Caenorhabditis elegans: one gene and its partners. The protein of the gene in region 2 interacts with the protein of the main gene of each other region in a pairwise test. Each region holds a gene or a part of one and is shown on either strand. Other genes may lie near its edges. The genes, in order: hlh-25, tbx-9 and blmp-1.

Evidence for each region.
Region 1: the proteins of tbx-9 (region 2) and hlh-25 interact in a two-hybrid assay, tested with the Caenorhabditis elegans proteins (one large-scale study listed by BioGRID).
Region 3: the proteins of tbx-9 (region 2) and blmp-1 interact in a two-hybrid assay, tested with the Caenorhabditis elegans proteins (one large-scale study listed by BioGRID).

Annotation. Positions count from the first base shown.
Region 1 is NC_003280.10:5,530,110-5,540,550, forward strand, and holds hlh-25 (Helix-loop-helix protein 25), read left to right. Parts: upstream 1-5,129; 5' UTR 5,130-5,130; coding exon 5,131-5,288; intron 5,289-5,344; coding exon 5,345-5,575; intron 5,576-5,622; coding exon 5,623-6,040; 3' UTR 6,041-6,296; downstream 6,297-10,441. Other genes in the region: C17C3.9 (Coiled-coil domain-containing protein), read right to left, coding at 1,289-1,316, 1,365-1,498, 1,683-1,760, 1,807-1,902, 1,949-2,002, 2,098-2,145; hlh-26 (Helix-loop-helix protein 26), read right to left, coding at 2,870-3,146, 3,197-3,403, 3,465-3,613; C17C3.11 (Protein kinase domain-containing protein), read left to right, coding at 7,726-7,890, 7,937-8,009, 8,054-8,301; hlh-27 (BHLH domain-containing protein), read right to left, coding at 9,191-9,608, 9,656-9,886, 9,943-10,100. UniProt on the Caenorhabditis elegans protein: Probable transcription factor. Modulates lifespan and also recovery from the developmentally arrested larval state known as dauer, perhaps acting upstream of phosphatase PTEN/daf-18.
Region 2 is NC_003281.10:10,336,747-10,347,187, forward strand, and holds tbx-9 (T-box transcription factor tbx-9), read right to left. Parts: upstream 5,113-10,441; 5' UTR 5,106-5,112; coding exon 4,813-5,105; intron 4,388-4,812; coding exon 4,312-4,387; intron 4,255-4,311; coding exon 4,102-4,254; intron 3,676-4,101; coding exon 3,319-3,675; 3' UTR 3,260-3,318; downstream 1-3,259. Other genes in the region: Apoptosis regulator ced-9, read left to right, coding at 155-334; ttr-15 (Transthyretin-like protein 15), read left to right, coding at 1,127-1,271, 2,257-2,504. UniProt on the Caenorhabditis elegans protein: Transcription factor. Involved in the control of early morphogenesis of the intestine, hypodermis and body-wall muscle. Involved in regulating expression of vab-7. Appears to have partially redundant function to tbx-8.
Region 3 is NC_003279.8:10,403,085-10,413,525, reverse strand, and holds the start of blmp-1 (B lymphocyte-induced maturation protein 1 homolog), read right to left. Parts: upstream 4,225-10,441; 5' UTR 4,168-4,224; coding exon 3,990-4,167; intron 3,657-3,989; coding exon 3,562-3,656; intron 3,301-3,561; coding exon 2,433-3,300; intron 1,923-2,432; coding exon 1,576-1,922; intron 1,194-1,575; coding exon 1,099-1,193; intron 1,049-1,098; coding exon 580-1,048; intron 165-579; coding exon 117-164; intron 34-116; coding exon 1-33. UniProt on the Caenorhabditis elegans protein: Transcription factor which binds to enhancer elements in the promoter region of genes. Regulates the expression of the transcription factor bed-3 to control vulval development.

The DNA of each region.
Region 1 (10,441 bases), on a different chromosome or scaffold from region 2:
CACGAGGAAGTACAACTTTTTCATTTTCAAAATTTAAATAAAATGAATTTTCTATTTCGAACTTTGTTCTCAAAAACAATTTTTGTAGCACGCATTTTTGTAAAAAATACTGTTATCATGGGGTTTTGGGGTTTTTATTGATCTCTAATGTTTCCAGAGGTTTTGTGAGTGCCCATATTTAGTGTATTTGAACTTTGATCCAATTTTATGCATCCATTTTTAGCTTTCTAGCTCCATGACACTGAAGCAAGTTAGATGTGTCCTTTTAGATAAACACTGAGAAAAGATTATCTGACTCCGCCTTAACCTTTCAGTGTGTTCTTGGACTCGTGAAAAAAATTTGTATAAAAGAGCAGAAGAGTGCTGAAATTACAAATTTCAACTGGAAAATATGAATCTTTTTCTCCTCGTCTGCATCGCCTTCGCCATTATTACTGTAACTAGTTTTACCCCCGATGAAAAATCTCAAAGGAGGAGAACTTGATCGAGCTCTATAAGCCCCTCCATCAAAAGACACGTGGATCCCGCCATGTTTTTTCATACAAAAAACATTGCGGAAGAAGAATCGTTTCTTTAGTGCAAGCGTGTGGAGATCCAGCCCCAGGCATGTTCTGTAGTTTAAAAATAAAATTTGAAGTTCTTTGGAGTAAAGAAGATAGGATCTCCGCGTTTTTGATACCAATTTTATTTTAGTTTTTAGTACGCCTGAAGTTTTTACTTTCAGACGACAGAATTGATCACGATCTCTCCATCGACTGCTGCACCCAGAATTGCTCATCGGAGTTTGTGAAAAAGATAATGTGCCCCAGCAAGCTATAGTTTTTTTATTAATTTTTTTGTAATTTTCCTTTTGATTTCCCCCAAACTTCAACATTTGTCAAAATTGTTTGCAAAATAATCGTGTCAATGCAGCTGTTCAACAGTTTAATCGTCTTTAATAAAATTATCTATTTTTCAATTTTCGTGCACCGAATTCTTCACAGAAAAAGGGCCAATCTTCCTACTTTTTCCGAAAGCTCACAGAGGAAGTTAACATTAAAAAAAAGAATTTCAGAAAAAAGAAATCACAAATTAATGAACAACTAATAGTTTCTAGTAGTTCAGGTATGAATTTGGAATTTGTTTCCAATTGTGGTTTCAAACAAGCAGTTTAATTAAATTATCTGTTCTTTCGCATTTTTATTATTATTATTGATTGAAAAATTATCTTCGAAATGTTTATTTTTTGGTACTAAAATAATTGTTCAAATAAAAAGCCTTCTTTTCGACACATGCTATCCCGTAACGATCATTTGTTCAAATATGGCATCCAGTACCTGTAAATTAAAAAATATGGAAAATAACTAGTTATCATGAAGTCATACCTTTGTCTCCATGTAATCCTTGGTGACTGAAAATTGGTCTGAGTTTCAACATCGCGAGTTGTGTTGTTCAACTTTTTTGCGACAACGTTGCACAATGCTCTAATGCAATTTTGGAATTTGATTACACAGGGATGCTGAATATTTAACAATTAATTTTTTTACAAATATAAATACTGATTAGCTCATGCAACCCATTCCAGGTGCCTTCACGGCAGCCAATGCATACTTTGTAAAAATGAAATGTATAAATATTCTAATGCAAAAACCAAGTCACTCTAGAGAAAAAAAACGTGCAAGAAAAACATAAAACAAACGAACCGTTCGATATTCGTCCGGAATTGTAGATATTTCCTTCTCATAACGGTCAAAGCAACCAACAATATTCTCCAGTTCCGCCTGTAACATTTGAAAGTTGAAAAACGTTTTGCAGCTTACCGCTTACCGTGCAAAAGCTAGTATTTGCGAAAACCCTTTGACATTCTTCGAACAAATCATTAGAAACTGATTTCAGTTTTTGCAGTGCTGTATACGTCTTTTCCTGAACAAGATTTCAGAATCAAATGTAAAAAAAATCAAATAATTACCTTCTCCATTTCCGTTTCAGAAATAGTCACCATAGTCAAGATTTGTGATTGGTTCTGCGAAAAATCAGATAAGGAAGAGATACACTTTTAATAATAGTTTTTATGAGAAATTTAGTCCTGTAAAATTATAAATACAATGTTTCACTCACCTCTGCAACTGCCTTTCGCTCGACCTTCAGCCGCTTTTTGCGTCCCATTGTTGTTGGTCGAGCTCTCTTGAAAAACTAATTTTTCTTATTAAATGGTTTTTATATTTTCAATTCAAAGAAATTGAACACGTGTTCCAAGTGTTTATTTTTAATAGTTGTGCTGACATTTTTTGAATTTTCTTTCACAGTTTCTTTATTTTTCAGGGTTCGTAAACCAAGTTGCCGGTTGCCGAACTTTTTTCGGCACTTTGGCAACTGTCCATATCAACGTCAAACATTTTGTAACTCAAAAAAAAACATGCAGAGAGCCTGAAAAAGCTAGAATTTCACTGTAAACGAAAAAAACGACCATACATTTTTCCAAAACGCTCAAAAATTTAATTTCGACAAAAAAAACTTTGAAACCTGGTTGCCGAAAAGTTTCCGAAGTTCCGGCAACCGGAAGTTGCTGGCTGCCGAAGTTTTCAGCGTTCGGCAACTTTGGCAATTGCCGGTTGCCGAAATTTCTTTAAATCTCGGTTGCCGCACAGTCCTGGTAAGAACGCAATTCAGTTCTATAATTTTTCTCCAATTGCTACGCATCTGTTCAAATTATCATGCACACTGTGCTGAAAATCTCAATATTGCTGTGTGTTAAACTTGAATTTATTATCTTGATGTTACTTTTTTAAATTTATTAATTTTCAATGAATCGGGATGCAAAAGATGTCTAAATAATGTTGAAAACTGTTGAAAAAAATTGGAGACCAATACGATTTTCAGCTGAATCTCTTCAGCCAACAATATCGATATCTTTCTCATTTTCTTCTATTTCCAGAGCGTCAATTTCGAAGCTGGAACTTGGGACAATAGGAATCTGAACTGTAGGCATGTGAGGAGGATAAAGTGAAAATTGATTGTATGAATTGAAAACTAATGGCGAATAAACTGGGAATACTGGGAGAAAAGGAAGTATTGGAAATGGTAGGCAAGGTACTGTACATGTGATCGACTTTCCACGAATCACTTCAAAGATGATTTCTAGAACCTTCAAATTCTCCATTTTGTCTCTGAAAAATACGTGTTTTTTAATTTATGGCCAATAAAATCTAAAACCTACATTTCTTCTGAGCTACTCAAATTATTCAATGCAATAAATTTTCTGAGCTCTCTGTACGCGGCAACTCTCTTATTTCGGCGAACTTGTTCCCGATCGCTTTTAATCTTTTTAATACTTCTAATTGGTCCAGGCGATGTTGAAAACGATTCGTGATGAAGTTGAATACCAGATAACAATTTCACAATACGAAATAGAACCTCTTCTTTTCTGAATAGACATTAGTTGAGAGTACGTTTTTTTTTTTTAAATAAAATAGTAGAAAACTTACGAAAGTTTTTCAGATTCCGATTTTTGAACGATTTTCTTGAATTCATTCAACAGATCATTAGTATCATCTCTTCTTTGTTTTTCTGTTTCAGATCGATGTCCATGTGAAGAAGGGGACCCAGATGATGACGAAGTTGGAGAGGAAGACATTATGAGTCAAGGATCTGAAATATAATAATAATAGTTAACAAAAGATTATTAGACAAAAACCGTAATAGGGAGACTACAAAATATGAAAGGCAGTTCAAATTAAAGACTTATGAAAACGTTGAAAAGAACCAACCTTACAGTTCAAGTATGCAAAAACATAATGACTACCTTCCATTATATGTTCGAGTTTTTTCTTCAATAGGCGGGGATTCTCATCGTTTGGAATATCATGGGAATCTGATATCCATACCTTTATTACGCGTGGTTCTCATGGTGCATCGAGTACCACATCTCCAGTTCTTGCCGTGGCAGCCTGAGAACCCAAGCAATGCGAAGGGTCACAACCTGAACGAAGTTATTGATTGGTGGGAAAAAATAATCCTGAAATGAATATTTGGTAAAATCGGAGCTCGATGGAATTTAAAAATGTAAATATATAATACAAAAGAAGAATTTAGAATATTTAAAATAAAAATGCATATTAATTAACTCAAATAATCAAATACATGAATTAGGTTATAGTATTTTTCCTTTACATGATAGTTTAAAATATTTATATCAAGCTGTTCTAGAAATGTTTTAAAAAACAATATCCAAGTTTAAAAAAATCTCAATTTATTTTTAATTTACGAGGTTTCCATCTCAGCGTGTGACACTTTTCTTATAACTTGGCACCTACATGTATCCGGTGTGAATTTTTTCTGTTGCTGTGTGAGCATTTCCAGCAAACCGGAGTTCTCAAAATCAGTAAGGTTATATGTTAAAATTAAACTGGCTTATTATTTTCAGAAAATGAAAAACTGCCATATTTGAGTGATAAACTGAATGAATCCGTAAAATTTGGTAGTTGTATGTTCTATGCATTATCATATACATCAATCTGGTAATTTTTATTAGAATCAGATCTTGAATATTGGAAACTTTGCGAATTAAAGACAAATAATGATTAGGCAAGCTGATTAAATGAGTGATAAAAATGGTTAATGTCAATTCACAGTCTCCGCCGAAATTTCCCAGGCTGTACCCAATCAATATCCAGTCGTGGCAAAACTGGAGATGTCCTGACTCGTTCTCATGAGAACCTCACTGATGAACCATGGGAACCCGTGATGGGGACTGTAAAAATAGAGATTTCAGAATAATTCCCATGGCTCCAAACGCTTGATACAAAGCTCCACCCTCTGAACAATAATGGAACTATAAAAGGTAACCATTTATTCATTGTTCATTTACTTTCTTAGTGGATCACTGGTCTGCTGGTTTAGTATACTTTTTGATAATTGTAACATCAGGAAAGTGTACTGATTTTGATCAATTACTTTTAAAGCATTCAGTGAACTGTATACTTCTAGAAAAACAGTACGAGTTATCTCACTAAACTAAATCAATTTGTGCTGCTTTCTTGGTCCCATTTATCTGTTTTGTCACAATTATTCCTTTTTAACGGCTCATCTTGAATTTTTATAAATTCTACATTTCTTATTGATTTTAAATTAATGAAAATTATTAAATTTCAGATGCCAAAAGTTATTCAGTCTTCAATGAGCGATTATCGTTCCGTCCCATACAATCAAACTCCAAAATCAGCTTCTGAACGGAAAAGAAGAAATATTACAAACGAGTTGATTAACGAATGCAAGACGATTGTTCAAAAATCAGAAGAAGAACATATATCGTAAGTTTAAATACTCTGTTAGCTTAAAATAGTTATTAAACTAATTCATTTTTTAGACAAGAAGTAGTTCTCTTCCGAATTGTGAAACTTGTGACTGGAGTTAATCTGGAATCTAATTTCTCATCGAATGACCTCTCCGAATCTACAAGACGGAAGTTTGATACTGAATCCGAAAGAAGAAAAGTGAAGACTGAACGTGAAAAGATTCGAAGAAAGAAACAAGATGACTGTTATGCTGAATTGAAATTCTTCATTTTGAACAAACAAATGGGAAGTTACGAGCAACGGTAAGAGTTTCATTATGGCTAATAAAAATTCAAAAAATTATTTTCAGATTAAAACTTGAACGGATCACAATTCTAGAAATCATCATTGATTACATTAAACACAATTCCGATCTTCTGTATCCAGAAACAATTCCCCAAATACTTCCTCTTTTAGCTGGAAAATCAACTGCTACTTGTGAGAACAAAGAGAATGAAAAGCCAAAAACACGAATGGAAGTGAAGGATCTCTTCCCAAGATTGACGTTTCAAGAAGTTCAAGAATCCCCAACATCTACTTCTCCATTGCTCACATTTCCATGTATTCCAATGATCCCAACTACTCAGTTCAATGTCTTGTCAAACTACAACACCGTTCCATCAATATTTTCTGCTCCCCTCCGATTCATTCTTCCATCACTTCAAATCTTAACACCAGAAACTAGTGACGAGGAAGAAAATGAAGAAACCCTCGATATAATTAACTAGTCTATCGATCTCCTGCAAATTTACAATTTCTGAAAAAAAACTTATTATACTCTATTCTAAGGCTGTCAAAACTTTCCTGGTTTTCTTTCATTATATTTTTCACATCCCCGTAATCTCAAATTATGCCACATTCACAATATCAACTTGTCATTGTTTCATTATGTCACCAAACTTTTTGAATGTTTATCTAATGCCAATATATTGAAAATGTATTATACTTATGATAAGCCAAATTCTAATAAATTGAAATTTTGTTTTCACATTTCAACATTAATTTGTTCATTCTTGCCACATACCAAACCTATTGACCTACACCTGAGTATTGTATTAGAGAATATTCAATGGTGCGCTCTTCAGAAAATTCAAAAAATTTAAACTTACGTCAAAGTTTTGTGGGATGTCCCATTCTGGAAAAAAAACACATAGGGAAAATTGAAAAAGTGGCGATAAACTTTTCCATACGGGGAAGTTCTAAAATTAAAGCTTTTCGATGTTTTCTTAAATGAAGCCGGTCAGCAGATTGTCGACATCATCCGGAAACATCCGATATTCAGTGAAGCTGGGACAGGATGTCATTTTTGAGGTTTTTTGAAAAATTAATAATCTTCCCTACTAAATCATTTGAAAATTTAATTTTTTCGGAAATTGCAATCATTTTAAAAATTAGTTTCTAAATTTCCCAAAAAAAGATAAATAAATAAAACCGAAAAAACTTTGATTTTCGCTGCGAGACCCGTAGATGGACAACAAATTATTTTGCCATTTTATGGGCGTGGCTTTCCCCTTTTTATAGAAAATTTTGGTTGAGAATGTAAAGGGGATGTGTTTTTTTGAAAATGTTCAAAAACAAATCTTTAGTTCTAACTTTAAATTGCGTAACTTTTTGTATTTAGAGCTCGGAAAAAATAATTAGAATGTCTCTATAATTTGCTAGTTGACAACTATGTAATTTTCTGAAAAAGTTGACAAAAATTGTTTGTTTGAATTTTTTTTTTTCATTTTTCACAATTTTATAGAATTCTCTTGTTTTTGAGTGTAATTTTTGAATACAAAATTGAAAAAAAATCTAAAAATGTTCTGTAGAAAGTTGAATTAACTTAAAGTTCAAGGAACCGAGTGGGCGTGGCCAAACGAGACTCCAAATTCCGCTGGGCAGTTTGTAGTGGGAGTTCAGTTTTAAACTATTTTTTCGAGCTTTTTAATTTGAAATTTTGATTTTTTTGGAAATTGCAATCATTTTAACAAAAATTAGTTTCATAATTTCCCAAAAAAAAAAGATAAATAAAAAACACCGAATAAACTTTGATTTTCGCTGCGAGACCCGTAGATGGACAAACAATTATTTGGCCATGTTATGGGCGTGAGTTTCCCCTTTTTATAGGAAATTTTGGTTGAGAATGTAAAGGGGATATTAGAATTGTGTTAATTTATATTATATATATATATATATATATCAGAATAAAAACAATTTGAAATAATTTTGAATCAACAGTCCGGATTTTTGAAAATCTCCTTTTCTAGTTTATGAAGTTAATTTTATTGCAGAAAAAAACAAGAAAAACTTTTTTTGAACGTGGACTTCAAAGATGTGATAACGTTGTGTTTAAAAAAGTTCGTCAACGACAAGATCAATATTTTCCGAAAATCCATAAATAATTTATTTTCAAATCTATTCTCGTCACGAGATGACGGAGGCTCCCGTTATTCAGCTAAGTATTGACTATAGAGTTCGTCGTTACAAGGTTTTCAAGAAACTTGAAGATGGTGAATTCGGAGCAGTGTATGCTGTGCGAGATGATGCTGGAGAGGAGCATGTTTTGAAGGCTCAGTTGAATACCAAGGAGATATATGTGAGTTAATACTGTCGAACCATTAAGCAGAAAATGTTATTTTTAGTCGCTGAGAATTGAGCTTTGTGTGATGACAAAGGTATCTGAGAAGTCGCCCAGCCACATGCCTACTCTCATTGGTATGTAGTACACTTTTGTAGGTAACCGTAACCCCATCTTTCAGACAAGGGACGCCATGACAACTTTAACTATATTGTCATGAAGCTTCTTGGGAAATCCCTGCAAGATGCTATAAAGACTGGGCCTGATGGTCATTTGACATTTGGGCTCTGCGATTGGGGCATCGTTTCAATGCTTGGAAGCATTGGAAGATTTGCATTGGAGTGGGTTCTTGGACAGAGATGTGAACCCTGGCAACTTCTATCTCGGAAGAGCAAGCCAAGGCGAGCTTCGCAACATTTTTGTTCTTAGATTCGGATGTTGCCGAAAGTATGTAGATCGCGAAAATTTGATGCTCGAGCCAAGAAAAACTGTGCCATTTCGTGGAAGCCCTCGATATGCACCGCTTGCATCACATAATACGGCGGAACATGGACTGAAGGACGATTTGGAAAGCTGGCTAGTTTAATCAATTTAAGAACTAGTCATTTATGTGATATATTCTGTAAAGATGCCAGAAGGCCAGATTGGGTTATCACTTAGAATTGAAAATAAGAATAATAGTTTTTATTTGAGAAAATGTGTTTTTCTAGGTTCTACATGCTCGTCGATTTCACCAATGCAGCTCTTCCCTGGAAAAATGTAAATGAGATTGGCGAGATTGGTGCGATGAAGAAGAATTCCCGCTTCCAACCGATCATGGGCCAATTCCTTGCTGGCTGCCCAGATGAATTTCGCTTGATTATGAAGTGAGTCTCTACCAAAGCTGATTTATTCGTAATTTTCCATTTCCAGCTATATCGACAGTCTTTCGTTCTTCAAGGAGCCCGATTATGAGATGATCTATACAACACTGCAAAAAGTGATGCTAGACAAGGACATTGAAGAGTTTCCGTATGACTGGGAGATGGAATTTGGTGTGGACTAATGGAACTTTGATTATACATACTTGTCTTGCTTGTATTCTGGCTAACAAATTTTACCGAATAAACATTCATTTTCAAACAGAATAATTTAGACAAGACTATCACGTGAGTAGTAAAAAATCTTCAAAAATAGATTGCGACGCGATGGGATGAAAAAGTTCGGGAATATTGGCCATAGAAAGATAAAAAAATGAATCAAAAACGCAATATAGACAATGAAGATTTTCGAAAAATTGCTCAGAAACTAATTGTAAGATCTGGAAGAACTTGATAGACTAGTTACTAATATCGACGGTTTCTTCATTTTCTTCCTCGTCACTAGTTTCTGGTGTTAAGATTTGAAGTGATGGAAGAATGAATCGGAGGGGAGCAGAAAATATTGATGGAACGGTGTTGTAGTTTGACAAGACATTGAACTGAGTAGTTGGGATCATTGGAATACATGGAAATGTGAGCAATGGAGAAGTAGATGTTGGGGATTCTTGAACTTCTTGAAACGTCAATCTTGGGAAGAGATCCTTCACTTCCATTCGTGTTTTTGGCTTTTCATTCTCTTTGTTCTCACAAGTAGCAGTTGATTTTCCAGCTAAAAGAGGAAGTATTTGGGGAATTGTTTCTGGATACAGAAGATCGGAATTGTGTTTAATGTAATCAATGATGATTTCTAGAATTGTGATCCGTTCAAGTTTTAATCTGAAAATAATTTTTTGAATTTTTATTAGCCATAATGAAACTCTTACCGTTGCTCGTAACTTCCCATTTGTTTGTTCAAAATGAAGAATTTCAATTCAGCATAACAGTCATCTTGTTTCTTTCTTCGAATCTTTTCACGTTCAGTCTTCACTTTTCTTCTTTCGGATTCAGTATCAAACTTCCGTCTTGTAGATTCGGAGAGGTCATTCGATGAGAAATTAGATTCCAGATTAACTCCAGTCACAAGTTTCACAATTCGGAAGAGAACTACTTCTTGTCTAAAAAATGAATTAGTTTAATAACTATTTTAAGCTAACAGAGTATTTAAACTTACGATATATGTTCTTCTTCTGATTTTTGAACAATCGTCTTGCATTCGTTAATCAACTCGTTTGTAATATTTCTTCTTTTCCGTTCAGATCCTGATTTTGGAGTTTGATTGTATGGGACGGAACGATAATCGCTCATTGAAGATGGGATAACTTTTGGCATCTGAAATTTGATAAGTTTTAATCTTTTTAAAATCAAGAAGAAATCTAGAATTTATAAAATTTCAAGATGAGCCGTTAAATAAAAGGAATAATTGTGACAAAACAGAAAAATGAGACCAAGAAAGCAGCACAAATTGATTTAGTTTAGTGAGATAACTCGTGCTGTTTTTCTAGAAGTATACAGTTCACTGAATGCTTTAAAAGTAATTGATCAAAATCAGTACACTTTCCTGATGTTACAATTATCAAAAAGTATACTAAACCAGCAGACCAGTGATCCACCAAGAAAGTAAATGAACAATGAATAAATGGTTACCTTTTATAGTTCCATTATTGTTCAGA
Region 2 (10,441 bases):
TACAGTAGGCATTTAAAGAATTACTGTAGTTTTCGCTACGAGATATTTCCGCCTCAAATATGTTGTGAAATACGCATTCACGGATTTTTGTGTTCCCCGGAATATGCTCTAAAGCATTATTTGTGAAAATAAAAAATCAAGAAAAAAATTGCAGGACGACTTCATGACACTCGGAAAACAAATGAAAGAGGACTACGAACGAGCAGAAGCTGAAAAAGTGGGACGCCGGAAGCAGAACAGACGGTGGTCGATGATTGGCGCTGGAGTAACAGCTGGAGCCATTGGAATCGTTGGAGTCGTCGTGTGTGGGCGGATGATGTTCAGCTTGAAGTAACGTATTCAATTTGTGTAAATAATTAATTTATGTACAACTCCTTACATTTGAATCTCATTTTTGCTCACTGATTCTCTCATCCTTTGAACTGGAAGAAGTGGGAAAGCTAGGCCACAAATTACGGCTCTCTGTGTCGATTTACGATTTTACTGCAATTTTTTCCGATTGCCTTTTTTTTTGGCCAAACCCTACTTCCGCGTAATATCAACTTTTCCGTGTTCTGTACATTTCGTCAAAAACCCTGAAACCCTAACTTTTCTCGCCGTGGCCTAGCCTCCCGCTTCTCTTCCACATTTCCAAAGTACCCCTGTATCTCAATAATTCATCTTCACTTTAACTGTCTCTTTTCGTGTGGCCTCTTCCAACTCCCCCCAAATTCCTGTACGCGTACGCGACTTTGTATTTATTTTTTTCAAATTGTTTTCTCTCTACAACAACAAAAAAAACGGTTCTTTTATTCAACCCTTTTTTCGGAACGAAACTGCAATTTTGATAATAGGCGTGCGCAAGAGAATCCGGTTTTCATTTTCGCCATCACGTCATCCAAAAAAGTTTAGTAGGAAAATATCATTTTTTAATATAATGATTCATCTTTCTCGCCTCTTCTGTCTCGAGACGACGGTCAATTCGATGGCCTTGAATTTTTCGAAACAAAAATGTTTTTGTTTAGTGTAAACGATCCCCCCGCCTTATCGCTGTTTCACCATCAGATAGGCTCCGCCCATTTTGATTCCCTTGAATTTTGTCGGTATATAAAACAAAAAACGTTAGTGCACGATTCAAAAAACAACAATGCGTGCTTTACTATTCACCTCTGTTGTTCTTTTGGCTTTGGCTTTTGTTGAGGCAAAGAAGCAGACTATCACTGTCAAGGGTACAACTATTTGTAATAAGAAGAGAATTCAGGCGGAGGTTACCCTTTGGGAGAAAGATACTCGTGAGTTTTCAGTCTTGTTTAGCTTGAAACGGCTTAAAAAGGACTAAAAAGGCCTAAAAATTGAAGTTTTCCACCTGTTTTCAAAAGAAAGCCGAATTGCACAGCTTTACACGAGATTTCTCAATAATTTGTATTTGAAATTTTCATATTCATCCCCAAACGTTCTTTACACGAAATTTTGCGATTTTTGAGCTTAAAATACGATACCTGGTCTCGACACGAAACATTTTTGTTAAATTCAAAAAGATGTGCGCCTTTAAAGAGTGCTGTAGTTTGAAACTTCTGTTGTTGCGGACTTTTCATCGATTTTTCGTAGCGTTTTTTTATAAGAAAAATGTATTTATTTATTCAAAAATTTAATTTTACCGAATCGCGAAAAACAAAATGAAGAACACCGATAAAAATATCGCAGCAACAATAGTTTGAAATTACAGTACTCTTTTAAGGCGCACACATTTCCATATTTCACACAAACTTGTCGTGTCGAGACCGGGTATCGTCATTTTGATGCAGAAATCAAGAAAATTGCATATATGTTCAAAAAACCACAATTATGGCGAATTTCAAGCTTGAAACGAAAATTCAGGAAATTCTAAAAATTAAAAAAAAATCATTCGAAATGTGAAATTTGATATTCAACTTGAATGCCATATGGCAAATTTCTGTCTATTCCGCTTTTCGATCATTTTGTTCCACGTGGCCGCGAAAAGAGAAAGCACGACCACTGATTTCTGGCAATTTTTTCCTGTACCGTGTCAATTATTTGAAACTCTAATAAGCTGGTATTTTTCTGCTATTGACAACTAACTGAATCCATAATTTGCAATTATAATATTGACTTTTGATGTGTGGCTTAGAAAAAAAAAACCAAAAACCTCATCTAGCTTTAGGCTGCCAATATATTCCTAGGACATATAAAAAACCCTTAAAATTCTCTGCAACACCTACAAGCTATCAAACGTACTATTAGTATTCAATTTTCCAGTCGACCCCGATGACAAGCTCGCCTCAATGCAATCGAACAAAGAAGGAGAGTTCTCACTTACCGGATCCGACGACGAGATCACCTCAATCTCTCCATACCTCATAATCACCCACAACTGCAACGTGAAGAAGGCCGGATGCAAGCGTGTTTCAGAGTATTTGATTCCAAAGGAGAAGATCGGTGGAACCTATGATATGACATACGTCACTCTTGATATTCTTTCCGCTAAAGACAAGGAGAAGTGCTAAGAAAATGTTTTTTTTGTTTGTTTGCTTGTTTGGAAGGGAAGGACTTTCTATCTCTTTTAATTCAACAATAAACTATTGGAAAACCTTGAAATTTTAACCTTGAACTGTAAGAAAAGTTGCGTGATTATGTTGACAATTTTGCCAAGTATATCTTTGTGGATATCACAATAAACGAAGTCAAAGCACGAAATATTACGGAAACACAAAATTAATGAGAATGCGCAACATATTTGACCGCAAAATATCTCGTAGCGAAAACTACAGTAATTCTTCAAAAGACTACTGTAGCGCTTGTGTCGATTTACGAGCTCGATTTTTGAAATGAATCAGACTAGAAGAAAAGGAGGAAAATATTGAACATCAATTGAACATCAATTCAAAAAGTCGAACCCTTGACTACAGTAGTCTTCTAAAGAATTACTGTAGTTTTCGCTACGAGATATTTTGCGCGTCAAATATGTTGCGCAATACGCATCCTCAGAATTGTGTGTTCTCGTAATGTCTTGAAAATTTTCCATTTCAACATCAAATAAGCAAATCTAAAAATGTGGGTTCTGCAGCGACCACTATGACTGTGATCGTGGCAAGACCCACTCAGAAAACTACGTGTTCCTTTAAACAATACATTTTTAAGTATTGTAGGTATAAAAATTGTTGGCTAGCAGTCTAGGCTGCCTTTTTCAGTCGACAAACTTCTAATTTAATCGGCGGGTCTTCAAAAAGTCGTTTCTTTGAAAATATAAAGCTTTATATATTTATATATTAAAAATTTTGATTACATGATATCAAAAGCGACCAGTTTGCATAAAAATTATCAACCAACAATATCAATATCTTCTTCTACCTCCTGATCCTCCTCCTTCACAATGCTCAGCTCACTGCTCGAGCTGGAAGGAGTCGACGGGAGAGGCGAGAGAAATGGAAAAGCGAATGGAAATTGGACTGGAAGATTTTCAGATAACATATGGGGAAAATAAAAAAGAAATGGGTTGATTGGAGGCATCGACTGAAGAGGTGCGACCTCCGGTGGTGATCTGGATTTTGGCGATGGGGACTGTGAGTTGCTGCCGTCGGAATATGATGGTGATCTTCTCTTGCGACTCAAGTTCCCGTCACGGAAACCTTTGGCAAAACTGTTGTGCTTGATTTTCAAGTCGGTGATTTTTTGGTTCTGAAATGAGGAAAAATTAGGTTTATTATTCAACTCTCTCTATCTTTGAAAACAAAGAATCTATTAAGAAATTGTTAAACACCATATTATGGATCACAAAGCGAGCAATATTTTTGTAGTTGACAACTTTTATATAGCTCTTTTTATTGGCGAGGTAGGAGTGCTTAAAGTAGCGCAGTTTCAAATTTATAAATAGAGCCAAATTTTGAGCAAGTGTAACTCTCCTTCTTTTAACTCTATTAAAAACTTGTCAACTAACTAATTAATCTTTACAACTAGGGTTACAAATTATTAGTTAACGACTTCTTGATAAGTATGATGGTTGACAAGACTTCCCCCTTCCTTCCCAGATTTCCCATTGTTCACAAAATATTGATTCTTCCGAGATAAGATCCATGCGCTAATACTCTTACTCTCAATACTAACCTGGTAAGCCGTTACTGCAATAAACTCGGTATGAGGGAATTTGGCGGTGGCGACGATTTGGTTTGAGGATTGTGGGACGCAGAAAGGGCTCTCCGATGGAGACTCGTAGATTGTCAGCACTGGAATGTACTTGTGCATGCTGTTGAGGTAAATCTGAAATTTCAATTTTAAATTGGAAATTGCCAAGTAATTTTAAAGTTGAAATCCTACCATTGAAGCGTTGTTGGACTCTGAATAGTTGGAGATTTTCACACGATCAAAGCAAATCGAACTCCACATCCAGTCACTGAAATTAATTGGGGTTACTTTGAAGATATAAATTTAGCAAATTTAGAATTATTTTCATCTGAATTATGTTGTCAGTTGACAAACGACAAACTTTGAAAACTTTAATGTTAGATGAGATGTAACCCTCAAAATATTCCAAAGGCATTTGAATGCCAGTGTCGGCAGCTCTAACTCTTCAATGGCTCAAGCTAGAAAAAAGTTGTCAACTGGCAAATTGTAGATGATAAATCAGTTAACAATTTTCCAGTTAACATCTTTTTTAAAACTTCCAAGCCCGCTGAGATATGGCGCTTTGAAGTTGTAATACCAGGGCGGAGCTAAAAAAAGTTGCCAATTGACAAAATGGTTCTCACTATTTTGATAATCATGTCAGTTTACAAATCTTCATAGCTTCTAATCTTCCAATTCCTATGTCACACTCACCTTCCCTTCCGAACTCCATCAGCATGCCACATCTTCTTCGCGTCGACCTGCTTCTCAGCTTTGCCCGTTTCCTGCCACTTTCCACCGCTGAACTTGAATCGACTTTCTCCAACTGGTTGTAATTGGAGCATTATTGCATACAGCTTGTTTTCATCAAGCCCTTCGACTATATATTCCAACTTTGGGAACAACTTTCGGCCGTTCTTCGTGACAATCATCTCGTTGACTTCTGCGTGGAATATCTTCCAGAGAGTTTCTTGGGATCCTTCGATTGATACTTTGACTTTGGACATTTTTTGTCTGAAAACGTTAAAATATATTATGAAAACGAACAGCAAAAAAAAAGTTGGAAAATGGTATAAGATATAATGTTATATTCTCACCGGTTTGGCAGCTACACTTGCTTAGAGTGTGGTACCAGTGAGAAGGAGGAGCGGGAAAACTATTCTAACTTAAAAACGGTGGTATCTAGCAAAAAGTTGTTAACTAACAAAGCAACAATGATAAAATTTGCAATATTTTGTTAGTTGACAACTATTTGGTATCTCTTGCCAGTTTTGAGATAACGTCTGAGATATCCCCGCCGTTCAAAAATAAGAAAACAAAAAAATAGAAAAATAAGAAACACGATAAGATAGAGATGTCATCACAAAAAAATGGTGATTTAAGACAAAGAAGTGAGAAATTGTGCACATCTTCACCCCATCTCACCTCATTGCCAAACCACACCCCTCTGCAAGGGCGGGCAGGTTGTGCGCGTGGCCCTCTCGGCTATCGATTCTGGGAAGACTTGGCGGCTGACTGGTAGATCAAAAGAGTTGGGTATACTTTCAAAACAAAATTGGGAGATCAAATTCTGATGTGGCATAGAAATAGAGAAGACGGTCCGAAAATGTTGGTTTTATGTAAACTTCAAAAAATGTTCAAAATTTAAAGATGATACAACTTCCTTATTAATTAAAGAATTATGCTATGTATACCATGCTTATCGACAGTATGGATTTTGTATATTTTTACTTTGAGATCACTTTTCTCAAGAAAGAATGACAGTAAAAATTAATGTAAACTGAATTTTTTTGTACCATATAAAAACCGAAATTTGAAAAAAATAACTTTATTTAATGTTTCAAAATAAAGATTTTACCATTTTACATTTTCATACCTTCCACAATTACCCATTATTCCATCTTCAAACCCTCCTTCTATTTCCAGATAATATACCATTTCCAAGTATACCCCTTTTTTGTCGGTTACCTCCAAAAGAGCATACGTTGTAAAATTTTTGAGCCGGTTAGTTGTAGTGGGCTCTTTTGATAGAACACCGACAGTATTGACTGGAGGTGTAAAAATTGGTAGCTGAAGGAAAATGGATAAAAGAAAACATTGGTTAACGGATCAAAATTATTTTGCATTTTTAGACATAAAGTGATATTAAAAATTCGAATTTCATAACGAATGTTCTAAAACATTGCTCAAAAATATTAGGAAAAACTCTCCAAATTTTGCAGATCCATTAAAATTTCTGAGCAATTTTTGAGCAAACCTTTTAAGTCTATAAGTCAGGATAATTTTGATATATTCGTCTTCCCAAAAGCTATCAAAAAGATGTCAACTTTCAAAAAAAAACTCAATTTTTTTCCGGGGTCTAACTTTTTTGTGGATGCAGCTATCAAAAATTTGTCAACTAACTGATTGTTCATAATTTCCAGAGCTATATTTTGTCAGTTGGCAACTATTCGGTAAACTCGAAGCTTTTCGAGATAATCGTTTCCCAAATTGTTATCTGAACCCAAATTTCTCCGACCCCATTAGCCCCATTTTCCTAGAAAATAAGACTGATCTCCAAAACACCAAAAAAAAAGCTGTAAAACTTTACTCTTCCCAAAACTCTCCGAGTCGGTGTTTTTACGGGGGGTACCTCTAAATCAGGTGGTCGATAAACATCGTGGCGGATTTATAACCTCCACAATTGTTAGTTGGCGTCAATGGATATACAGGTGATAAGGTTTACAATCACTGATTAGTTGTTCTGAATTTTTTTTTCCCAGGAACACAAAAATTGAGGTTTCCTGCTTTTAAAATGTTTTTAAAAACACTAAAACACTTGTTCAAAAAATTTAAAAATCACATTCCTTCCCTAACAAAATAAAATTTTAAATTTATTAATTCAATTCCATACCTATTAATTAAATGTATATCCTCCTCCACAGGTGCGAACTCCTCGTTGTACGCGTGTCTGCCACGTGGCGGCGAGAACAAAGTGCTGACATTCATTGTTTTGTCTAATTTTGCTGAAAATATCATGTGCAGCTATTTTGGTGTCTATGTCAAACAAAGAAAGTAAGATATGTATCTGTGTTCTCACCTAGAATTGTTTCTTGCTAGAAAGAAATTTTGAGTGGAAATAAAAAATTTCAAATAAAAGTTGTTGCGATAAAAACGAAATAACATTGCGAAAAATGACGTTATTAAAAAGTTGTCATCTACTAACAACATAAAATTCATAAAGTTTCTAACTATTTGTTAATTGACAACTTTTTGATTCAGTTATTGTGAGCTGAGTTATGCGGCATTGAAGCAGAAAAGTCTTAAGAAATCAACTTTGTGTTTTACAGCCTATGCTTTGCCACCCGAAAGTGTTACCCAAAAATTGTCAACTATAAAATAAATAAAGTACATAAATGTTTTAACATATTGTTAGTTGACACTTTTTAGATTAAACTATTGCGAGGAAAGTTATGATCCTTCAAATCAGAGCATCCTTGAAAATTATTTGCTTGCTCAATTGGGTTCTCACGGGCATAACTTGACAATTAGTAACGTTATCAAAAATTGCCAACTAACAGAAAAATGTTTACAATACTTTATAAATTTCATTAGTTCGCAACTTTTTGACACCGCCGCCGCGATACAATGGTTCCACCAAAAGTCCGTATGTACCTCCACTGCTCCGCGAGCACAAAGAGCTTCCGTTCAAATTGCGTGGACTAACTTCTGAAAGTGATCCTACTCCAAATGACGTCATCAGCCGACTCGCGCGTGTGTGTGTTCCTGCCGCTGTAAATTGGAGCAACTGTACGTCTGGCGCACCACGGGCGGTGCGCGTTTTATGTGGTTGCATAATGAAAATACGCTGATCACCACGAAGAGTGAATGGATTAATTTCCTCAGAAGAGAAAACTTTGCCTAGAAATTTTTCTGAACTGGTGCCAAGTTTCACGGCCGTATATGACAGATTTTCGCCCAATCTCCACGGGACCCTAATAAATCAAAGGAGGCCCGATGTCAGTTAGACTTATCACCACTTCCTCTACAGTACCACATCATCTTCAACACTTGTGCAGATCTTAATCACCAAACCAACAAATAGGCCTTTCCTTCTTATATGTCCGGTCGGGAATTGCATCACTGGGCATTGCACGAGAGCCGTGCCCAGATTGATTGACTTGTCTCATCGGAGATTTTATCAAAGGGGTGAATGTTGGGATAAGGTACCTTTCTTGTTGTTAAGAAGACCTTCTTCGTCGAGGTGGCCTAAAAATTACACAGCTCTTCAGCTCGGATTTGCAGTGGAAAATTTTTCACTTTTATGTCCACGTAACGCCTTTTCATGGAGTTGCCCCAAACGAGTGTCACACCTTCCCCGCGGCCGTTAAAGTTCTCTCGGTGGCTTTGAAATTACAAGACTCTTAAATTCCAGCCACCTACCTTCTACAGTTTTAAAAACTTACTAAAATCATAATTTTCCAGATGCTTTTTTTTTCAATTTTTGTGTGTAGAAACATAACTTTACGGCCATGAAACGACACCCCAGGTTTTTAAAGTTGCTAGAATCGCCAGATAATATAAATACGTATGACTCTGAATATCAAGGTTTTTGTCTGATTGTTGCCTGTATATTGTTGCGTGGGATATTCAGAGAGACCAGAAAAACGTAGGCCATTATTGTGCAGGACATGCAACAATTTCAAAATTATCAGCCACCTACAAGCCGACTTACTCCTGCCTCGTGCCTACACGCGTGACTACTGCCTTCAAACCCCCTTAAGCATGCCTAAGAACATCAAAACATGCCTTACAAGATTTATTAGAGATAACCATGTCGGTGGTATTAAAAAGATCACGTCAAACGGAAGAAATAAAGAGAGAAGTCAATCAACGCAACAGCGGGATGCCTCTTCTAATCGGGTTGCATCGCGACATCGGCGATCCGGACAAGGCTGCCGAGTCGCAGCCTAAGCAGAGGTGCTCGTGGAATAAAATTTCTGAAAAAGCCAAGGATATCAGGTGGGCGATTAAAAACCTGCCTGCCCTTATAGGCGATAGGCAGGTATGTAGGCAAACTGAGGAGTTTGCTCCAAAATGCAGAAAGTAGACTATAAGAAGGTTACCTGAAGTCAATACTTAACATTTAATAAACTGAAAATTCTTACAAATGATCTGTCATATTTGAAATCCTGTAAAACATCTCTGAAGCTATTAAATTTTTGCAATTTAAGCTATTAAAATGTTGACCCAAAACTCCCTCCAAAGTTCCCAAAAACTATAACATGTCAAGTACATAAAATGTCCTTCCCTATCCATAACCTAATGATCACCTGTCAATTCTAGTTACCTAACAACATAAAACGCGTACCGCTCTTTCTCCTCCACCCAACAGTGCGCCAGACGGATCCCTTTACAACTCTCTGGTTGGTGATGATGTAATTTGGAGCCGCCGGCTCACCGCAATACTGTCGGAGCACAAAATTCAGGAAAATGATCCTGATTGAGAACATGGTGCATGCATTAACAGATAATTTGTTTTTGAAGGGAAAATCAATAATTATCTGGAGATTAGATATCTTGTTTTTAGAGATAGTTGTAAACAATGGCAAATTGTAAAACCACTTTAGATGAACCTGGAACTTTCGGGAAATCTGGCAACCGAGCTACAAACTACAAACTACAGAAAATCAATCTACAAATGTTTTTTTCAGTCAAGAACCGAGATATCAGTTGCACATGGTGCATCGAACACTAACAAGATTAATCAAAATTTGTCACGTCCAGTATATCCGTAGTAAAAGTGAGAATTAACCTCAATGATTTATCATCCTGCCCGTGTCCTTCTTCCCGTTTATCAATATTACCGTAGTGGTGATGGTGGTGGGGGCATCGAATATCGTCGTAAAATCGTCGTTAAACAAATTTTATGAACTCTATATACAAATCAAGCGTGTTATTATTGTTTGGTAGAAAGATTGGAAAACGATAAAGAGAGGTGAACAGGTTTCCTAAAATATCCCCCCGGAGATTCATTTCTAGCAAGTATTTGGAGAAAGATGAAGAGGGACTGCACAATATTTAAATCGTTGAACCAATAAAATAATAATCACAAACTTGGAGCATTTGGAGCATTCGATGACGATTTTCTAGAAACTGGGGAAGTTATGAGGTTTTTGGATTACATTTTTGATTGGAGTATCATGAACATTTTTTAGAACTCCTTAATAATAATTCTTCAAACGACAAAGAAGTTTCAACCAAAAAATTTGTCAAAAAGTGTTTCTAACAGAAATGAAAGTATGTAGAGAGAAAGTTGGGATAAAGTAGGTTGAGAAGTATCCCACATATCTCAAAAAATATT
Region 3 (10,441 bases), on a different chromosome or scaffold from region 2:
ACCGAGGAGGGAGGCGTTGGGAAGATTGTATTTCTGAAAATTGTAGGATGAGAATGGGAAAGTGAGATAAGAAATATTTATTTGTATGCATGATGAAGCCGAATATAAAAGCTTACACTATAAATGGTTTCGATTGGCATAAGTGGCCGCTTGAGTTCGGAGTTCTGAAAGCAGTGAAAATGTAAGCAGAAGCAAAGCTGTTGTTAGTAATTTACTTGATTTCTTCTAAAGCTCGAAAACTAAAACTCGAGCAAAAAAATTTATTCACGACCGTATTTCTTCTATTAGTCTTGCGCCCACTTACTCTACTTTGACATCTCATATCTCGGTCCACTAAAGATATTTTTCCAAATGTTTCACAAATTCAATATTTTCTCAGTTAGAAATTTTTCGATAAAACCATAGGCAACTAAGATATGAACTTACAAAGTTAGGAAAAGTGGGTCAATACTATTAGAGGAAACGTTGTCGACTTAAACTTGGACAGTATTAAAAATTTGATCAACTTTTTAAAACTTAGTTTCCATTTTGTAAAAAACGGCGGAACATGTATAACTCGATATAATCTTCATTACTTACCAGTGTATTTTCAAAGATTCCCAGATTTCCATAACCCGACCCTGACATTGATCCTTCATCGATTTCGCCTTTGATATCCATTAAATCATCCCTCATCGAGTCTTTCATATCCTCTTCTTTACATGTAGTTGTTTTCCAATGAGTTCTCAATCCACTCGGTGAAATATATTTCTTTCCACATGTTCCACAACTATACGGTCTTTCGTTTGCATGCAGACGTTTATGAAGTCTTAGATGAACGTATTGAGTGAACTTGGCATCACAAACATCACACGTATACGGCTTCTGACCATTGTGAAGTCGAAGATGAGTTTTTAAATTAGAAGTCGACGAGAATCGCTTATCACAAATATCACAGCGATGAGGACGTTCTCCGGTATGAACAAGATGATGCTTCTGAAGATGAGCAAGCTGTGTGAACTCTTTTGTGCAAATTTCACATTTGAATGGACGTTCGCCGGTGTGCGTTCTGAAATGTTGAAAGTAAAAAAATAATTGGAAAATAAGAAAAGTTCTAACCTGACATGAACTTTAAGATTCGAAAGCTGTCCGAATGTTTTGTTGCAGTCTTTGCAAGCGTATCTCGTTTTTCCATTTTCCTGTTGTTGCACGTACTGAAAAATTTTAATTTAAATTTATTTTCATGTAGAAAATATGAAAAGGAATAACTAGACATTTTACCAGGTCTAGGCGTGTGAATCGCCCTCCTTGCGCCCTGATTTGAAAAAGATTTACAAAAAAGCACCCGGTAATCAATTGATTTATGTATCAAAACTTTGCTAATTTTATTGGGATCAACATAGAAAAGGTAGAGATAAAAGGTAGAGATAAATAGAGGCAGGGTCAAAAATTATAAAAAATATATAATTTAAAAAAATTAAAAAATCTAGTATTAAACATTTAAATATCAACTGTTTTTTAAAAAGAATGTTTCAAAATATTTTCCCATCAACCATCAAGTTCAACAAATTAAAAATCTTCTTTGGTAAAACTTACATTTGGAACTCCATTAAATGATGAATCATTGTGTGATGAAGACGAATGATTAACAAATGGAAGTTGATGAAATGAAGAAGTATGGGCACTTCCACCCATTCCAAATCCTCCACCCATACCACCACCACCTCCGAATGCTGGAGACGCAGATGTGTACAGAGGTTTTGATAGCTCATGCTGGAAATCTTGACTCCCATAAATTGCTGCATAGTTTCCAAAATGAGCTCCTGCAGTTGCTGCAAGTACTGGCTGCACATCAATCGGCTGGCCGGATCTTCCACCAGTGGCAGTTATTGCGGCTGTTGTTTGAGCAACAGGGGACACAAACATTGAGGTATCAACTAGTTCTGAAATAGGGTTCAATTGTTTTCAGGACTTTTTAGGACGCCCCAGTTTGTTTTTAACTTAGCAGTTAACAGTAAGCTATAAAATTATGAATAAACATACAACATGTATTTTGAAAACTTTTCCGTTGATAAAACCACATCCGCACGGGATAAAAGCTGCCGAAAATCCGAAAACAGGTAGATCACTAATTAAAAAGTATAGTAAAGCATAAACAATTTGATAATTTAATTGATTGAGGAAACAATTTTAACAAACTGAAAATATTGTTAAACTTAAGTTGATGTGTTAAAAACAAAAAAAAAGTATACAAATGTATCTTGTTTGTCGACAGAAGCTTAATCCCCATCAAGGACATATGGCGTTTTTAGCTGTTTCTGATAAGTTTTGTTAACAAAATGTTAAGCAACTTTTTGCATCTCCAGTGAAAAAAACTTCAAAAAAAAGTGTTACATTTTCAAAATTTTCAATTTCAGCTTATCAGAGATTCAGAGTGGGATTAATAAACTCACTTAATTGAAGGGATTTCCTCATGAACTCTTTAAAATCCACCAACGGACTTGCATAAAAATTGCCAAGTCGAACGGGTATTCCCGGGAAATTATTGACTTTGGTTGCAACAGGCCTCACAACTGGATTCTGGATAACATTAGGCCGTGTGACTTCTGCAACAGGCCGTGTACAGCTCTCCTGCTCTTCAACATCAATCATTTCTTCGTCACTTGCAGAAGAAGCATCAGTAGAGAGTGTATCAATGGGTGATTCAATGAGTTTTTTAACTGAATAATCAATTGCCACAATTGTTTCTGCTAAACTCGCAATTGCAGTTGATGCAGAAGCTGGTGGTGCAGATGGAATCAGTTGAGTAGCTGGCCTTCGAACTCTTACGTATGGTCTTGTTGAATAATTTAATTTCCTTGCGTAGTCCCTGCTGAACCAAAATGATAATTCAGTATTTGCTTCAATCTTTTTAACTGTGTAAAAGTAGATATCATTTCCAATTTGTGCAGCAACAAGATTCTGAAAATCTTCCTCTTCAGCAGCTGCCACGTATTTCATCCAATTTGATCTCGCATCATCTTTCACACAAATCGTTTTATTCAATCTGCCACCTGATGGAGAATAGATCTTCCACTCTTCCGGAGCTTCATCAAATGGAACATCTTCTTGAGCTGGACCACCTCCAGCCATTGATGCTTCAGCAGGACATACAAGTGCTGTGTCAACATCTACCAAACGAATTTCTCCAACGAGCGGGCCAAATCGGACTCCTCTCGGAATATGATCAGATGACCATATTGACGATTTCTTTCGATTTTTTGAGGAGGACTTGAGAATTAGGTTCATAGGAAGTGTGCATTCTGCTCGCTTTGGATTTGGCTGAAAATAAATGGAATTAAAATTGAAATGGTTTTTTTCGATGTATATTAACTTTCTCATACTATTTTTGTAGTCCTGGCAAAAAAACGGTCGGCAAAAAAGCAACTTTTTAGTGCACATCTCAAACTTTCTATGGAACGTTTTGAACTTTCCAAATTTCTAGAGAACTTTTTGTTCCAAAACCATTTTTTTAGAGAAATATACATGTAGGCAGGCAGGCTCGGTTTTTAAAACTTTATAGACTATAAAATACGAACTCACCAAACTAACAGATTTGTCTGGAACATGAAATATACATAATTCGGCAAGATTCTCATCTCCCGACTGCTTCCAATCAGTTTCAACGTTTCTCGCACCTGAAATTAAAATGTTCATTGTATAAAATGACAGCTTCACAGTTTTTTCTTTCGGTTTAAATTTTGAAGTGATTGTTTTTTTTGTTTTCACTTTCATTTGTTCTTTTTTATATGGTGTCCACGTCTAGTTCAAGAGGGAAAAGAACATTTTGATGATAAGTGATAGCGCGGCGATGATAAGCTTGGCGGCATTGAAATTTGATAAGAAATCCGAAAAGGAAAAAAAAGAAGTGGAGGGAAGAAAAACGAATTTGGCTGATTCGATTTCTTCGCAAATGTAGATCACGGATGGCTGCCAAGGGGGCCGAGTTACAGTATCCTATCACAACTTACCTGACGCTGAAACTCCGGCAGGTGACGTGGATGATGGCGGTGTGGAAGATGATGACGTGGCAGATGAAGCAGAAGAAACGCCGACAGAAAGGGGAGAATGAGGTGGTGAGTGAGCTGCCGCAGCAGCCGAAGAGAACGGTGCCGGCGGAACACCGTCATCCCCACTTCCTTGACCCATTTTTTACAGGTTTTGTTTAAAATGAGATCGAAGGAAAAGAGAAGAGAGATTTATTTTCTGAAATTGAAAACATGATTCTGGTAAAATAAAAATAATTTTTGGCAAAAAGAAAGACAAATTAAAAGTGAACCAATTCAAATAAAAGTTTCAAAACAAGAGCGAGAGAGTAATAGAGCACGGAGAGGGAAAAGGCGAGGGCGAGAATCAGGAAAACGGCGCCGAAATTGTCAAAAAGACCTTGATAAGGAAGAACTCGAAGAATTGGGGTGAAATAGCTGGGTGACCGAGGAGAGTGCAGAGTTAAGAAGAGCAAAAAGGGAAAGTTGGTGATTACGGTAGGTGGGTTAGATGATGGGAGGTTGTGCAATAATAGATTAATGTTTTTTTTAAAGGAGGAACTTATTAAGGCGTCCGGGATGTGCGCCTGCCTACCTATCTTCAATACTGCCTACTGAAAAAGTCAACAAGAACTGAACGAAAACCTAAATTACAGAATATAAGAGGTAGACAGGCATAAGTCAGGCGTCAACGTCTCAAGAAAAATCTGAAGAGGCAGTAGTTCAATAGCTCAATTTTTTTCAATTCCAAGTTAATTTCAGAGTTGAGCTTCTGAATTGAAACTTTTTTAAGATGTCAAGGGAATACGGTATGCATATTGTCGATCCAACAAGTAACCTCGTTGCTCAACTTTCGCGGCTTATATCTCGGTTCTCTTTAGTTGTATCAAAAAACTGTCAACTATAAAAACATTTGCGGACTAATTTTCAATATTTCTGCAGTTGTGCAATTTCGGATATCTAAACAAAAAACCAAGATATTAGCTGAAAAGGTGAGCAGTCCGATTTAATACTAATATAGGGAATACCCTTAAAGACGGACTATGACTTGTGGGGATTTTGCATCAAATTGCTTTAGATACTCCCAATAATTCGTATTAAACAATAAAAACTAAAACAATTGGCTAAGTTTGAAAAAACTTAATTTTTTAATTTCAAGCCTACGGGAGTTGCTCAGGAATATGTGCCGGAGAACTGAAAACCAAACAAGTTCATTTGAAGATTGTTTTAATATTTCAGAAAAATTCAAGCTTGTTCACATAATTTTTGTTCATAAACCTCGAAAATTCCCATCACCGCGGGCACAAATTCCAGAGCTTGTATAAAAAACCTAAATTGGCAACTTTCAAAAAAAGTGACGGGTGAGAAAAAAAAGTTAAAAGTTTAGAAGAAAAAGAGCGAGGCGGGGTCAGATCTGTTTGTCTTTTTCATTTGAAACACGTGTGATTCAGAATTCAGAAAAGGAGCCGACAACTTTCAAACAAAAAAATGTGGGGATTTGGGAAAAGAATACGGTAGCTTGGCAAATATGAAATCAAATTTGAAATGTACTAAAAAAATTGTAAAGGAAGATCGTTCATAAAAAGGAGGAGATGAATAATAAGAGTTTGTACAAAAGGGGGAAAAGCGAGAAAATAGCTGCTGCTACTACTGTTGGATGGGACGAATTGGAAGCAAAGAGAGTGAGAGAATGGATTACGGTAGAAAAGGATAATAAATAGTATTGAAATTTCAGAGATGCAGAGTCACGGTCAGTCATGACGCCGCCCGAGAATTGTCGCTCGCGCGCGCGCAACGACCATTCATCCATGGATTCGGATTCGACGGTGGTCTTCTTCTCTTCCGAAGAGTGTGAGGTATGGCTGTACACAGCAAAGAGAGATCACTGATTGAAGAGAGGATCAGAGAATCAGAGAAAGGGACCGGTTTCCCCCCATTTGTTCGCGCACTCTCTTGCATAATGGACGCTGCTGGACGACGACGACGACGACACAGAGAGGCTTCTTCTTCCCCTTGAACCTGTTCTTGCATATCGGGCCTGTAGAGATCCGCCAAAGTGATTCGAGGAGAGGATCGTCTCTTTTAGCCAATGTTTGTTGGAAGAAGGAGAAAAGAAGGGAACGCGCCGTCGGAGAGGGGGCAAAAGCTTTTGGTTTCTTTTGGCATTCGAATGGCTATTAGGGAAATTGAAAGGCCTGAAGCAGAGAGAAGGGAAATGTGTACGGTTTTAGAAACTGAACATTCAAAACAAAACAGCTTTGCGTGGTGGAAATGGCAGGGTTTACTTGAATTAGATTTCTAGATACTGTACTTAACTCGATCCAGAATCTGGTAAAAGGGATGCAATTCGGAACTTCAAAGACATTCGTCAGGTGAATGATAATACCAGTTTCAGAGTTTTTGGTTGATGTCATAATTTGTAGCTGACCAGAAAGGAATCTTTAGAATTGTGACGGCATAATAAATTACCACGAAAGTCGTGAATTTTTCTAAGGTTCTAGGAGCAAAAAGTGCTGTCAATTTATGGATTAGATCGAAAATGTTTTGGCAGGATGTCTTAAATTTTGTTACTCTGAAACGATGCTTGTAAGATGTAAGGTGTCACCGTCGTGCTCCAATACTATAGATCGGTGATAAAACCAACCAATGTCAGGCAAGAAAAAAAAATGTCTCAGATATCCTAACTTTAAGTTCCATAACTTTTCCACGTCACCTGGAGTGCATAACTACCTGATGTCTACTTGCTTGCGCGCCTGCCTACCGCTTATTTTAATTCTTAACTCCGGATTTCGTTGTTTGGACAATGTGAATTCACTCATTAATTAATTATTGGAATAAAAGTGCACATAGTTTGGCAGTAGGCATGGGTGGGTCGCCGTGAAGACAGATATTTAGTTAATAGGCATCACCGAGACTAAATGGAACGTATTTCTGAAATTTCTCAAATCCTTGAACAAACAATCCCAAATTCAATCAATTATTGCTGCCTGTGTCAAGGAAATTCTCATTAAATTTCTTCAAATTGACAGGTCTCTCTCCCTCATTCAATAATTATTATAACACCTTCTTCTTCCTGCCCTCATCATCCTGAGAATCTCATCTTCATTTCGTTTTTATTTTCCTTTTCTTTCCTTCACCTTCTTTCTTTAGGGCACTGGCTGCTGCTGTTCAACACAATTTTTGGGGGTCAAGTTGTTGTACAATGTCTTTTCTCTCTCGAAGATCTTCTACAACAACTACTACGTCTTCTTCTTCTTCTCATGGGTGGTAAAAGAATCGCAATGGAAAACTGCGGAAAAGAAATCGGTATATGAGAGAGAGAGAGAGGTGGAGCGCGCGCACCGACCTGTACCGACTGGTACGAAGGTGAAATCGCCCGAAAAGCGAATACGAGAATCATTGGAGGAGGAGGAGGAAATTGGAGAGAGAAGGTCGTCTCACCGCAATTTTACAGCTATCAATTTTTTTTGCAAAAAAATCCTGTGAGATCCAGATGAATTTCAGGCTTCACCTCGACAGCTGAAAGGGTGAGAGAAGGGAAACTGAAGAGGCGAACGAACGCAGACGTCGATGATCTTGTAGGTAGACAGGCATGCCTTGAAGCTTTGCATAAGACTTTTCAAATAATTTGTTAATGGCTTCAATGGGTTATAAATTGAAATTTTCAATAATTTTTAATTTCGAGAATGTTGAAAATAAGGGCACAAAAAATAACCACAAAACAGAAATTGACAAAACTTTGCTCATATTTCGAGAATTGAAATTACTGTTTTTTTTCATTTCTAATTATTGCAAAACAAAATAGTGGTTTTTATAGCAATAAATAAATTCATTGGGAAAAGTCAGAGTTCCACCTATACCTGCCTCGTACCTACAACTGGTGAAGTACACCAAAATTATAATCTAGGCAGGCTAAGGCAGAAACAGACGCCTGTGCCTATTTATCACAAAAGCCAAAAAACACTAAGAATCCCAATAGGAGTGTGACATTTAAGAAAAAGAATTCAGAAAGAAAAGTGTAACGTTTGCGAGTACAAATTAATGGCAACAGACAGTTTAGTTTACAGATTGGAACGTCACAAACCGTCTGTATCTTCTTTTTCTTTTTATTGAGTATTTGTAACCTTCTTTTCCAAAAATTAAAAAAAAACTCTATTTGATGGCAGAAAATCTGAGCGTGTCGAGATAAAGTGATAAAAGTGATAAAAAAAAGTGCGATGAAAAGTGATGGAATTCCCATGAAACAAGAAGATCCAGTCTTAAAAAGAAAGTCTCTCTTACTCACTCCCGCATTTCACTATCACTATGAAAATCGAAAAATAAAAATTCATTCGGATCTGATTAAACGGCATCTAAACATCGGGAAAATAGGAGAAAGGATTCGAGAAAGGAAAAGGAAAAATCAAAGAGAGATCCAAGAAAAAGGGAAAGATTTTCGATATTGGAGGTGAAGAAGAGAAAGAGGTAATCGGTTGAAAGAGGAGGAGGAGATGGCCTTCAGAAGAATTGGACGACGAGAAAGAGAGTATGAGAGTGGATACTACTACAAACCGTACCTGCGCATTATTGTTCTGTATGTTAAAATTGGGGAAAAGAGAATTCAGAGAATGAGATTATAAGAATTTGTAAGAGGAATAGACAAATACACAAATGATTGCGAACAGCTATTCATAAAAGTTTCTAGTACTAACTTTATATACCTTAAACATCGCTTTTCATTAAACTAAATCCCTGTCAAAATAAGACATTCCGGCGGGTCGAGGTGTGCCAAATTTTTGCTATTTTTAGTATAACTGAAACATTAATTTCTGGTGTATTTTTGATAAGCACGGAAAAATAAAACACTGTTTGTACTTTCAACGTAAGGCTAAGTCAAAGCCTAAGCCTAAACCTAAGCCTAAGCTTAAGCCTATGCCTAAGCCTAAGACTAAGCCTACGCCCAATCCTAAGCCTAGCCTCAGCCTAAGCCTAAGCTTAAGCCTGAGCATAAGCCTAATAGTAAGCCAAATTCCTCTTTAAAAATCTACTGAAGTTCAGTTTTATGAAGTTCAATCCGTATTGTAATTTACTAACTTTCTTCGGATATTTTTCAGTACCTATATAAAAAACCTGTAATCGAAGAGTTAATATTGTCGTAAAGGTGATACTATTCGTACTTATTCTGATTTTATCAGCATTTCATATTCTTCAAAAGGCGTTTTCCAGGCGGAAGGCAGGCGGGAATGAGAGAAGGTAATTTTAGTTTCGGTATCAAATGTATAAATGTAGTCTGATTACATCAATCCGACATTTAGGTCAACTTTCCATCTTTACTTTACTTCCTAAATTCGTGCGTGAGAGAATCAGACATCAACAATTTATTTTTGTTACTTCAGATTAGGAACTATGTTCAATTTTATTCAACAAATGAAGCCAAGCTGTGAACATTCCTATTTTAAATGTTTGGTTCTCATCATATTATGAACCGAACACCAAAACAATCGAAAACGAGACGAGAGGCCCAGACGAACGTAGATCAAATTGACCTTGGCGCCATCGACCCGGGACCTCCTTCACCATCTCTACTTCTCTATTTCTCTCTCAATTTCTCTCTCAATTCAAATCTACTGGCAACTAGGTCATTCGGAATACAAAACAACTCTCCCGCAACGAAAAGAATAAGATGAGAGGGGATACCTCACGCATGTGCCAATTTGATGGACGATGACAACGACAGAATTGAGGAAAAAAGTGGATGGAAAAAACCTTAGACGGTTTTCGTATATGACGAAACCTAAGGGAATGAGGTCAAATATTCATGTCGGTGAAGTTTAAAACAGGGATTTATTCAATACCGATTCTTGAGACTTTGGGAGGTTATTTAGCATAATTAGGAGCGAATGAATCTTATCGAAAAATAGTTTTTAAAAGTTATTGAAATGTATTTCTTCTGACGTTGTAATTTTTTTGAGTGAAAAACCAAAATATGTGGAATTTTGGTTTACTGCACACTGCTCCACGTCCACCATCACGCGGACACACTTTTCTAGGCCGGTCTAGGCCTATTTTCACACAAGAAATGTCATTTATCTTTGTACAAAGATTTAAAAACCATTATCCGAAAAGCTTGCCCTTTCTAAAGTACCCAATCAAGTTTTCCTATTCTCCAATCTTTTATTTCTCAATTTAATTAAAAACTGATAAAATTCGTTTCACTGATCACCTATTATGGATCAGAAGTGTTGGTAAATCAATAATTTATTGTTGTTTTAATATGAAATGGTTTTGTGGTCTGACGCGAAAAATATCTCGTAGCGAAAACTACAGTAATTCATTAAATGATTACTGTAAATAACGCTGGTCCGATTTTGCGGTTTTTGCCATTTTTTGATGATGTATATAAAAAACATAGAAATGACAAAAACATTAGAGGAACATTTAATATCGCTGTCAAACTC